Oryzias latipes: one gene and its partner. The protein of the gene in region 1 purifies or fractionates together with the protein of each later gene. This does not show direct contact. Links are inferred from orthologs where the notes say so. Each region holds a gene or a part of one and is shown on either strand. Other genes may lie near its edges.

What was found.
Region 2: the proteins of gapdh (region 1) and siah1 purify together in Homo sapiens (affinity purification with western blotting; 4 studies listed by BioGRID). This does not show direct contact. The link is inferred for Oryzias latipes from reciprocal best matches to the Homo sapiens genes GAPDH and SIAH1.

The regions. Positions count from the first base shown.
Region 1 is NC_019874.2:20,245,993-20,250,999, forward strand, and holds the start of gapdh (glyceraldehyde-3-phosphate dehydrogenase), read left to right. Parts: upstream 1-1,625; 5' UTR 1,626-1,708; intron 1,709-2,004; 5' UTR 2,005-2,030; coding exon 2,031-2,053; intron 2,054-3,065; coding exon 3,066-3,165; intron 3,166-3,247; coding exon 3,248-3,354; intron 3,355-3,436; coding exon 3,437-3,527; intron 3,528-3,625; coding exon 3,626-3,741; intron 3,742-3,822; coding exon 3,823-3,904; intron 3,905-3,994; coding exon 3,995-4,146; intron 4,147-4,224; coding exon 4,225-4,303; intron 4,304-4,632; coding exon 4,633-4,716; intron 4,717-4,807; coding exon 4,808-4,905; intron 4,906-4,980; coding exon 4,981-5,007. UniProt on the Homo sapiens protein: Has both glyceraldehyde-3-phosphate dehydrogenase and nitrosylase activities, thereby playing a role in glycolysis and nuclear functions, respectively.
Region 2 is NC_019864.2:25,285,985-25,291,019, forward strand, and holds the start of siah1 (E3 ubiquitin-protein ligase SIAH1), read right to left. Parts: upstream 3,272-5,035; 5' UTR 2,349-3,271; coding exon 2,231-2,348; intron 722-2,230; coding exon 665-721; intron 1-664. UniProt on the Homo sapiens protein: E3 ubiquitin-protein ligase that mediates ubiquitination and subsequent proteasomal degradation of target proteins.

The sequences.
Region 1 (5,007 bases):
GACCTATTGCTGCTTATATCTAGCAGTAAATCAGTCTGCCTGCTGTTTCAAAGGCATTTCACTCTGACTGCACACATTTTCATCCTTTTTTTTAAATTATATTTGTGTCATTTGGTTGGTGATCTAAATTCACAATAACCTTTGAAAATAACATGTCGCTACCGAAAACCGGGAAAAGATTCCATTTGAAAGCAAAATGTAGAAAATAAGTGTTTCTTGCTGCAACACAAGATGGCAGTATGAGTTTGTTTGTTCCTAGCTATTATTGCACATCTCTGCAGGCTGGACTTTGTACCAGACAGAACACAAGTTGCACAAATGTACCTAAAAGCACCTTTTTACATGAACGCAATCACAAAGTCCCGTCTTTACAGCTTAGAAGTTTACCACTGATGTTTCTGCAGATGTTTGTAGCGAGTCAGTATGAACACAGAGGACTAACGAGTCCAATTTATGTCATGAAATGTTTCCATGTTTTTCTCTAAAATCAATGCATCAGTTTCGTTCCGACTCAAACGTCGAGGTGCTTGAACTGTTGTGAAACAGACAAAAGAAGATCACCACGAGGCAGCACTTGCAGCACTGAGTATATCATGGATCATGAGTTTGACTCGCTGCAATCTAATCTTAGCTTGACCTTTGCGTCCCTTCTTTGACCTTAAGCTGTAAAGCGGCGGCTGGGACTGGCATGCTTGCACTCGGAGGGGTTGTGATAGTTCAGCTATGCCAGGACCACTGGACGTCTGCCACCAAACCCGCCGTTGCTGCTCAGCTTCAGAGCAGAGAACCGTCTCTGCAGCCTGCTGAAACATGCAGAGGAAATCTAAGCGAGCGTTTGTCGGGTCTGGTCTGCTTGTGCAACACGTGGGGAAAATCTAACACCGTAATCTTGGGAGATCTTTTCTTTCTGATGTCAACATTGTTGACAGAACAGGGAGTCAAAAATAGACTTCGGAAGGCAGCTGGCATGCCTGAGCCTTGTTGTGTTTTGAGACTGGTGAAGAAAGCAAAGATTATTAATCTCTAAAAGATAAAATGTGCTCTTGCAGATTCCTTAGCTGCAGCACTTTCAAGATAAAGTTTTACTATAGAGCCGTTTCCAAATGTCCACACAAAAGTCACAGTTCAGGTGAGCAAACTGACTCCGACAAGTTCCTCTGCACGACTCAAGTTGAGCAACTGAGTTTCAACTTTTGACTTGAGCTGAGGGGATAAAACGGCAGAAAAAGAGGCACGGCAACAGAACCATTCAAGTGAAGGGTCATGGTCTTTGAACATTAAATGTCAGCGTCACTAAGCCAGAGATTTGATCCCCCATTTGCTCTCTCCATGTGTCTGCATTCAGTGAGAAGGTCAGCAGGGACCCCTCTCTTTTTTCAGCTGGAGGATCTAAATCAGGACCTCCAAATGCTTCAGACTAAACTGACAGCACATATTTTGAATTAGAATAAATGCTCTAAAGAGTTAGGACTGTAATTAAAAGTTAAATATGAAGAAGAATTGAAAGGAGCTTGACAAAAATGGGATTTCAGAGCCTGTGTCTGAGCAGCTAACGACCTTGACATTCACAGGGGGCGGGGTGAGGATCGGTGACCATTAAGGGGTGTGGCTTTGTCCTGAGGGGGCCATCATAAATACTCCCAACCAAACTTTGCTCTTCCCCACTCACACCCGGAGTCGCAAGACAGACAGAAGCGTCTCACAAACGGTAAAGGCTTCAGCTGTTTCTGGCAGCATGACTCTTTCATTGAAATCACCTGGAGACAATTGATGCAAAACAGTCACTTTGCTTTGTTTCTGCTTGATTGAAGCTGTTTAGAAAGTTGTAAAGTGTCATGGAGAAGTTGCAGCAATCAAAGTGATCCAAAAAAAAAGGACTTGCATGAATGTTTGAGGCCTTCTGCTCATCTTTCTGCCCAAATGATGTGTGATTTTAAAAAAAATATTTGTTGCATAGATTTCTAAAGGATGTTTTTTTTAAATTGTTATTCTTTAATCTCACAGAGGACTAAAGATCAACCCAGGCTAAAATGGTGAAAGTTGGTATCAATGGGTAAGAGCTTTTTCTCAACACTTCAAGCTCACAATGCCACATTGTTCTTGATGCACTTCAAATATTTCCTTTTTAATCATTTTATTTTTTTAATACATTCCTGGAGTGGTTTTGCAAAACGTTCCCTGAATTGTTTGATTTCTTAAAATAAGGATCTCTTAATGAAACTCTGAATGTTCAGACTAACTTTAGCAGAGTTCCAAGAAACCTTGAGGACACTTGATTTAAAGAACAAGCTCTGGTTTACTAAAGAGTTTTTAATTTTCCCTGGCGATCAAGACGTACATGGAGCTGAAGCAATTGGCATCCAATTTGAAGGTGGTGTGCAACATCTGAAGCAACAAGTGTCCCCTGATGCATTTGAACAAACCTTTGCGCCATCTGGATGTTTTTTGTTTTCTCTCAATCTCTGAACTTTGGCCTTTTGGTAGAAAACTTTGAGTTTGTTTCACCCCTTCAACTGGACAGACGTTTTCTTCTACTCTTGGAATTGAGTAGAAATGAAGCTGAATATCTCATTGGATATTGAACTATCACAATCCTGAATCTTTAGTGTTATCTGCCAGTCCTGCTGGCCTCTGTTTTAGACCAGGTTTTCAGGACTGTGGTTAAAAAGTAACCCGACCATTGATCAAACCGCAGCTGTGGCGTCATCAGGATTAACACACTGGCGGTTCTTCTGACTTTTGCCCCCAGAAAGGGGCGTGTGAGCATTTGAGCGGCATGCAGCCCCTCCTCATGAGCTCTGCCCTTTATCTGACTGCAGATTCATGTCTCCTGGGATGTTATGCATAAGCCAACGTGAAGGAAGGAAACAAAATGGGGTTCTTTCAGTGAACCGCGTTTGCTCGGGTTCACCTGAAAGTCAGCACTAGCGTCCCTTACTGAATGATTTCAGGTTATTAGGCATTGGCCCCTTTATGTCACTGCCACTCAGACATAACTGCACAGATTAGATGGCCTCAGGACGCCATCTAGAGGCCAGACTGATACTTGTCCTTCCACATTTCAGTTTTGGCCGTATCGGCCGTCTGGTGACCCGAGCTGCTTTCACCTCTAAAAAGGTGGAGATTGTGGCCATCAATGACCCGTTCATTGACCTGGACTACATGGTGAGTGAAAGACATTAAGTCTTAAATTAAATGGGGGGGGGGGGGGGGGGAGATCTTGTATTCAAGTTATTTTTGTTTTAAGGTCTACATGTTCAAGTATGACTCCACCCACAACCGCTTCAAGGGTGAGGTCAAGGCTGAGGGAGGCAAACTAGTCATTGATGGACACCAGATCACCGTCTTCCATGAGTGAGTTAATGTGCCAGTATTTAATAATCAGTGATTACTTTTTAGGACGACTAAAAGAAAGTGATTGGATTTTTCTTTGCAGGAGGGACCCTACTAACATTAAATGGGGTGAGGCCGGTGCCCAGTATGTTGTGGAGTCCACCGGTGTGTTTACTACCATTGAGAAGGCCTCTGTATGTATGCTCCCCTCTGGATATCATGATTTTTATTTATTTATTTATTTTTGGATCAAGCAAATGCGGAATAATCCTCTTTAAATCCCAAAATGCAGGCTCACTTGAAGGGCGGTGCCAAGAGAGTTATCATCTCTGCACCCAGCGCAGATGCCCCCATGTTCGTCATGGGAGTCAACCACGAGAAGTACGACAACTCTCTCACGGTTGTCAGGTAAGATGACTTTTAATCTACAAAAGGACCGTCCATTTTTGGATCTTACAGCTCTGACGCCAATGTTTCTGCTTTTCAAAGCAATGCGTCCTGCACAACAAACTGTCTGGCCCCCTTGGCCAAAGTCGTCCACGACAACTTCGGCATTGTTGAGGGCCTGATGGTGAGAGCAGACGCTCCATTAAACGATTTTTGCTGCTGAATGTTCAGACTCATTGAACCCACCTCCCTTTTTGTCTTGGTCTCTCTTCAGAGCACAGTTCATGCCATCACTGCCACCCAGAAGACTGTGGACGGACCCTCTGGTAAGCTGTGGAGGGACGGCCGTGGTGCCAGCCAGAACATCATCCCCGCCTCTACCGGAGCTGCCAAGGCTGTGGGAAAAGTCATCCCCGAGCTGAACGGGTGAGTCCTCAGTGGGTTTTTTAATATTACAGCATACATGCTGTCAGGGTCTTAATTAAACACTTAAAATTTCTACAGCAAACTGACCGGCATGGCCTTCCGTGTGCCCACTCCCAATGTGTCGGTGGTTGATCTCACAGTCCGCCTGGAAAAACCAGTGAGTGACCACAAATCCTTTTATTTTTCCTTCATATGGATTTATTATTATTATCCATATTATTATCACCAGGGATTAAGATGGAATCTCTTAATAAAATTAATCTGCAAAACTGTACAGTTTCTCAGATTTTATTCACTTTCAACATCTACCTTGTGGGCTCTTATTTTCTGCTATATTCCGTGGTCTATATGGTAAATTTCAGCAGGTGAAGGTTAAATGAAATATGCGTACATTTTGCGTTCACCATTTTTTTTCTTTTTTTTTTAATCCAGATGCTAGTCGGTTATTATGGTTTATTTTATTTATGGTTTTGTCTTTGCCTACAGGCTAAATACGATGACATCAAAAAGGTAGTCAAGGCTGCATCTGAGGGACCCATGAAAGGCTTTCTTGGATACACAGAGGACCAGGTCTGTAGCCAGCTGTCTTTGTTTCTCTCTTTTTATTTTATTTTATAGATCATCATAATTTTTCATTCACATTTTCTTTGTTTTCCTGCAGGTTGTCTCCACAGACTTCAATGGTGACACCCACTCCTCCATCTTTGATGCTGGTGCCGGCATCGCCCTGAACGACCACTTTGTCAAGCTGGTCTCATGGTACGTCATTCTCACCTTCTCCACAAAAAACACGTTAAAAAAACCCTGACTGACGTTCTCCTTTTTCCTTACCAGGTACGATAATGAGTTTGGCTACAGCAA
Region 2 (5,035 bases), on another chromosome or scaffold:
GCAAATCTCTGACGTGCGTGTTGGGGGGGGGGGGGGGGGGGGTGTTTACAGACGGCACACAGAAGGGAAACCTGAGACGGTGCCTCCAACATGTGAGTGACAAACACTCTGCAGAAGTTTACTCCAAACAGAAGTTCTTATTTTAGCCGGACAGAAAGCGTTTGTGTGAGGAGAACGTTCCAGTGCAGCGATGAGGTCACACGCTGAAACTCTCTTCTGCTTGACAGCAGAGAAGAGTGAAAAGACGTTGGAGGGAGAGGTTTCAGTTATCAAACATCAGATTTCTGGGAGGCACTCAGTGGTTCGGCTTAGGTGGGTTGACGCAGGGCCCCGTTTCTGGAAGGACCTCGGTCGTGGGTCCTGCTGTCGGGGCGTTTTGGCAGCGAGGAGCTGAACAGTGTTGGATAAACATAGCATCACTTGTTCAGTTGGCACGCCCGGTGCCAGCTGACGAGGAGCTGCCAGATAAAGACGGCGTGGGCCGGGCCCTGCAGCGGGACGGCTGATCAGCCCGACAGAAAGGTCTGAGCCCACACACACAAAACTACAGCAGACATGGGAAAACCAACAAAGCTGCCATCGATCCTGTAAATGTAAAGCAAATCCCCAACAGATCCACTCAGACACAGACAGACAGACAGATTGACAGACAAGACAGACTGACCTTCGTCCATAAGATTTCCAAATAAGGCTTCTGTCTGCTCCTGAAATGTTTGGACCTCTGAAAGAGAAAACAAAGGAAGTGCACATGAGAACCCGACAGGCTGGTTCTGAACGTTCTGCTTTGTTCTCCAGTCAGACACAGAAGTGGGCTCGGATTGTTGTGATGTTCCGGCAGACGTGAGGGCCGGATGGCGCCGAGGCGGTGTTTGATGGGCAGGACACAGAGCGTGCTCACTTTAGATTTCTGCTGTGTGGACGCTTTGCTGCAGAGCCACTCATTCATATTTCAGTAAGTCTGGTCCATTTCTGGACTAAAGGTTGACGAGTGAAACCCGTTTGTCTTCAGCTGAACAAAATCTACACAAAGCAAATTATTCCTGGACACGATTGCATCACATTTGATTTGAGGTTTCTGTTAAAACGACGTACAATGTCTCCTTCTGTGTGGAAACAGAACTCGCAAACACAGGAAGCTGCTTTTTGAAACTAAAAATTCATCTCCACATAAACCGTCTCGTCTACAAACATAGGCAGAAAACAGGGCTACGGTGTGGGAACAGGTAGACGGATAAGACCATCGATGGTTCGGGGCGTGAAGGTGAACACCAACGATGAAGGAAACCATAAACCATAAACATCTTCCTGTCTTTGTTCTGCCAATGGTTTGGTTGCAAACAGACCAAAAAGTCTGTTTCACCAACAGCTTCTGCCTCCATGAACCTCATGGAGGCTCAACAATCTTTAAACGCATCGCAAAAGAAAACCATTTCCCTTTTAGAAGCTGAAGAAATATAATCTAGAAATAGTTTCATTAATTAAGAGATTGGATATTTTTCTCAAAAGATTGGAAATTATTATTATTTTTAATTGATGTTATTTAAGAAACCAAGCAGAAACCTAAATACAATGTTGAGTAAATACAAATTGTACATTTTTTTGTATATATTGAATCCTTCAACTATGTGATGAATCTTTTGACAGAAAACAAGAACATCTTTTGTGCATCACAGAGCGAGAGGCGGAGCCTCAGAGATGGAGTCGTCCTACTTCCTGATTGGAAAAGAACTCAGGAAAATAACTAATATTTAATTTTAAAAGAAATGTTCTTTTGTGTCCCAAAATATATCATCATATACATGGATATATATATTTTTTACTATAAAAGGCTTAAGAAGAGCCTGGTATAGGCCCTTAAAGGACCAAAACATAAACACACAAAATGAATATTTAAAAAGCAAATTAGTTTTAATAAATGTTCAAAAGTGCTATTTGTGAAGAAAACATTCCCGTCGTTCCCTTTTCTCTTCTATGATAAGAAATTAAATATCCTGAATGACAAAACTAAACAGAGGAACATCAGGACAGGTGAAGGGGGATTCAACACAAACGTTAATCCACGTTAAAACAGTGCAACATAATGTACGCAGGGAAACGGTTAAAAGCATCTTCTGTGCTCGCCCACGTCACGCACAGCATCGGTGTGCCAACACGGCCCCCTGCACACAAAGTGCCAATTCAAGCCACCTTGGGCAGAAACATGGAGCTGGTGAGGATCGACGCGCTTCACCTTTAGTGTTGTGCACATTCCTGGTTGCTACGCATGAGAGCAGCCTGAACAGGGAGTTCCAGGGTGGAGCTTGTGGAGCTACACTTGTCTGCTTGGATTTCACTTGGACCACAGACATAGAGGTAAAGCATGTATGCAGCCCCTCTGTGCCACGCTGCTCAGGCCTTTTCCATGGAAACCACACACTGCTGCTGGAGCTCTACGCATTCCTCCAAATACTGGATCATATTTCCCCTCCTGCCACCCCCGCCCCCGCCCCCACCCCTCTCCCCTTGGAAAGTACAAGCTTCTGAGCGGCTGGAGTTCTGCAGCAGATCCAGAACGAGGGTTGTGTCCAAACAAACACCAGCAGATCCTTAACAGCGGGAAAACGTCAGAGTCCAGGGTGTTTGAGCGACTCCACTGCAGAAGCAACAGAAGGAGCCCGGACAGCAGCCAGGCAGGCTAAAGGGTTAATCAACTCGCCAGTCTGCACAGGAAACGGGAGGCAGTTTAGGAGAGTCATTAGAGCTTCACCAACACTGGGTAATTATCCAGTTTCTCCACTCAGGAACTATTTGACATTCCACGGGGCGGTTGGTTAGCAGGTATAGAAAGAGGAGTCAAAAAAAAGTGCAAGTTTGCAAAAGAAAAATCCTCAAAACAAGAGAGCCCCAGCTCAGAAACCTAACCTTGGCTCCCCGAGAGGAAATGAAAGAAGAAGAAAAAAATCCAGTGTGAAGTCTCCCCCTTCACTTTCTTCTCGGTTTGGATTTCAGTGATGTTCTTTGTCCTGGGGAGCGTGGTCGGTGTCAGCGCCACTGGCTGTGTTTGTCTGAAACACAGAGCTAAAGTCCGCATCCAGCGCGAGTCTTTATCTTTGTCTCTGCAGGCTCAGCCCTCACATGTCTCAGCTCAGCTCCAGCTGCATCTCCCTGCTGCTCCTGCAGCCTCGTGTCCTCTGAAAGCCTGCAGTTTGCCTTCTTTCTCCAGGCTGGACATTCTTCCTCCCTCTGCCCCCTCCCTCCGCCTCACTGTGGTTGTGCAAGTCTCAGATTTCAGCTGGTATAGCTGTAAGCTGCAGCACCAGCTGACCCCTCTGACTTCATACCTCCTTTCTCCTTTAGTGCAGCCCGTTTCTCCTCTGTCCACGTTTTAAATGTGAGCCAGAGAACACAGGGCTGCGTTCTCTGGCTCACATTTGCTCTTCAGCATAACTTACTTACACACTCTACAGCAGCGTCTCACCTTCTCAAAGTGCTCTTCCTGTTTTTGAGAAGCACTCTAGGTATGTGAAAAGCTCGCTCAGCGTTTACCGTTCGGAGCATCGATGCTGAAGATGCAGCACATCCCAGAGTCAACATCTGCTCACGAGAGGACAAAGAGGAGAAGCTTTTCTTTGTGCTTCATTTCCACATGGACCAAATCTGTGGAATTCCTTGCCCACCGTATGCTAAGCCGGAAGGATTTTTTCGCCCCCTCAGACTCAGTTATTTTCACAAATCTGATAAGAGATCAAACACGTCTGCAGCTGCATCAAAGACGGAGCGTGTCTGCTTTCAAAATCTCTGTCTGGATGTTCAGGCAGCAGTTTTTGGGAGGTCTGCAGTCAAACCTGCCAGTGGCTAGCAGACAGTGTTGTGAGAAAACAATTCTCCTGCTACATCTTAACATCTTGGCTTCAGTGCACATTAAAGTTTCCTTTATGCCAACGCAGAAACCCTGAATTCTGATTTTAAGTAATACTTTTAACAAGACTGCATTAGCTTAATCTAAAAAAGCTTTTTGAACGTGCCAACTCTTTTTACAAATTCAGCTCTTAAGCTAATATACAAAAAAAAAGAAGCACAAAAGGGACTAAATGTCATCGACACAGCAAGTTTTCATAAAGTTCCAGCAGGACCGGAGAACTCTGTAGAACATCAGCTGTTCCCTCGACCAGACCACTCATAGGAACAACCTGACTCCTTAGGTTGGGGGTCTCTTCTGGGCAAAGGGTCACTTGGTACCCAGACACAGAAAGAAAAAACAAATTTCCATTTTAGTCATTAGTGATTTTGAAAGCCATTTCATTTGGGAAAAACTACCAGATTCTCTCCGTGACACTTTATGCATGTAAAGTCGCTCGGTCACATGTCTTCCTACATGTGTGACCTTCCTAAAGAAGCCACTCAGGCGGTAAAACCAAAATAACCCCAAGATGACAAAAGAAACTCAAACCGAATTATTTGGACAATTTCTGCACAGTATAAGAATCAGAGAGATGACTTCAAAAATCAACAAGAAAGCTGCATTTAACAGATAATATCAGGAGTCTTAATTAAAATATGGATTTATTGGGACAGGTTGCTCTCACGCAGTGAGCCCTGTCTTATGTTACAAAGACACTGCTGATAAAATTGGACACAGCAGATTCCCGTTTATTATTATATTTAGAAAATATTTGTTATGGTGGTGGTCATATGCAACGTTTATTTATTCATCTCACCTTCAAGTCCGGTCTGTGGTGTAAAACTGATCAGGGAGCGCTGCATGGAGGTATTAAACTGAATCTTTTGATACTTGATGGTTCCTAAAAAGTATCTCAACGTCTCAACGTAGATGACCCAACAATGCGTTGAAAGATGTGATGCTTCACTGGAGGTGTCAAAAGTTTTTAATATGCACACTACGGCATGAGTGAAGGGAAAAAAAAGCGCGTGCCAGTGGCGTTCATTCATCCGTGATCTGCTGAAGACAAATAATCAACCAGCTGTTTATAAGAGTGAAAATGTCCTGACTCATTCATGTGTGACCTTTTGATTAAAAATAGTGTTTAAAGTTGCT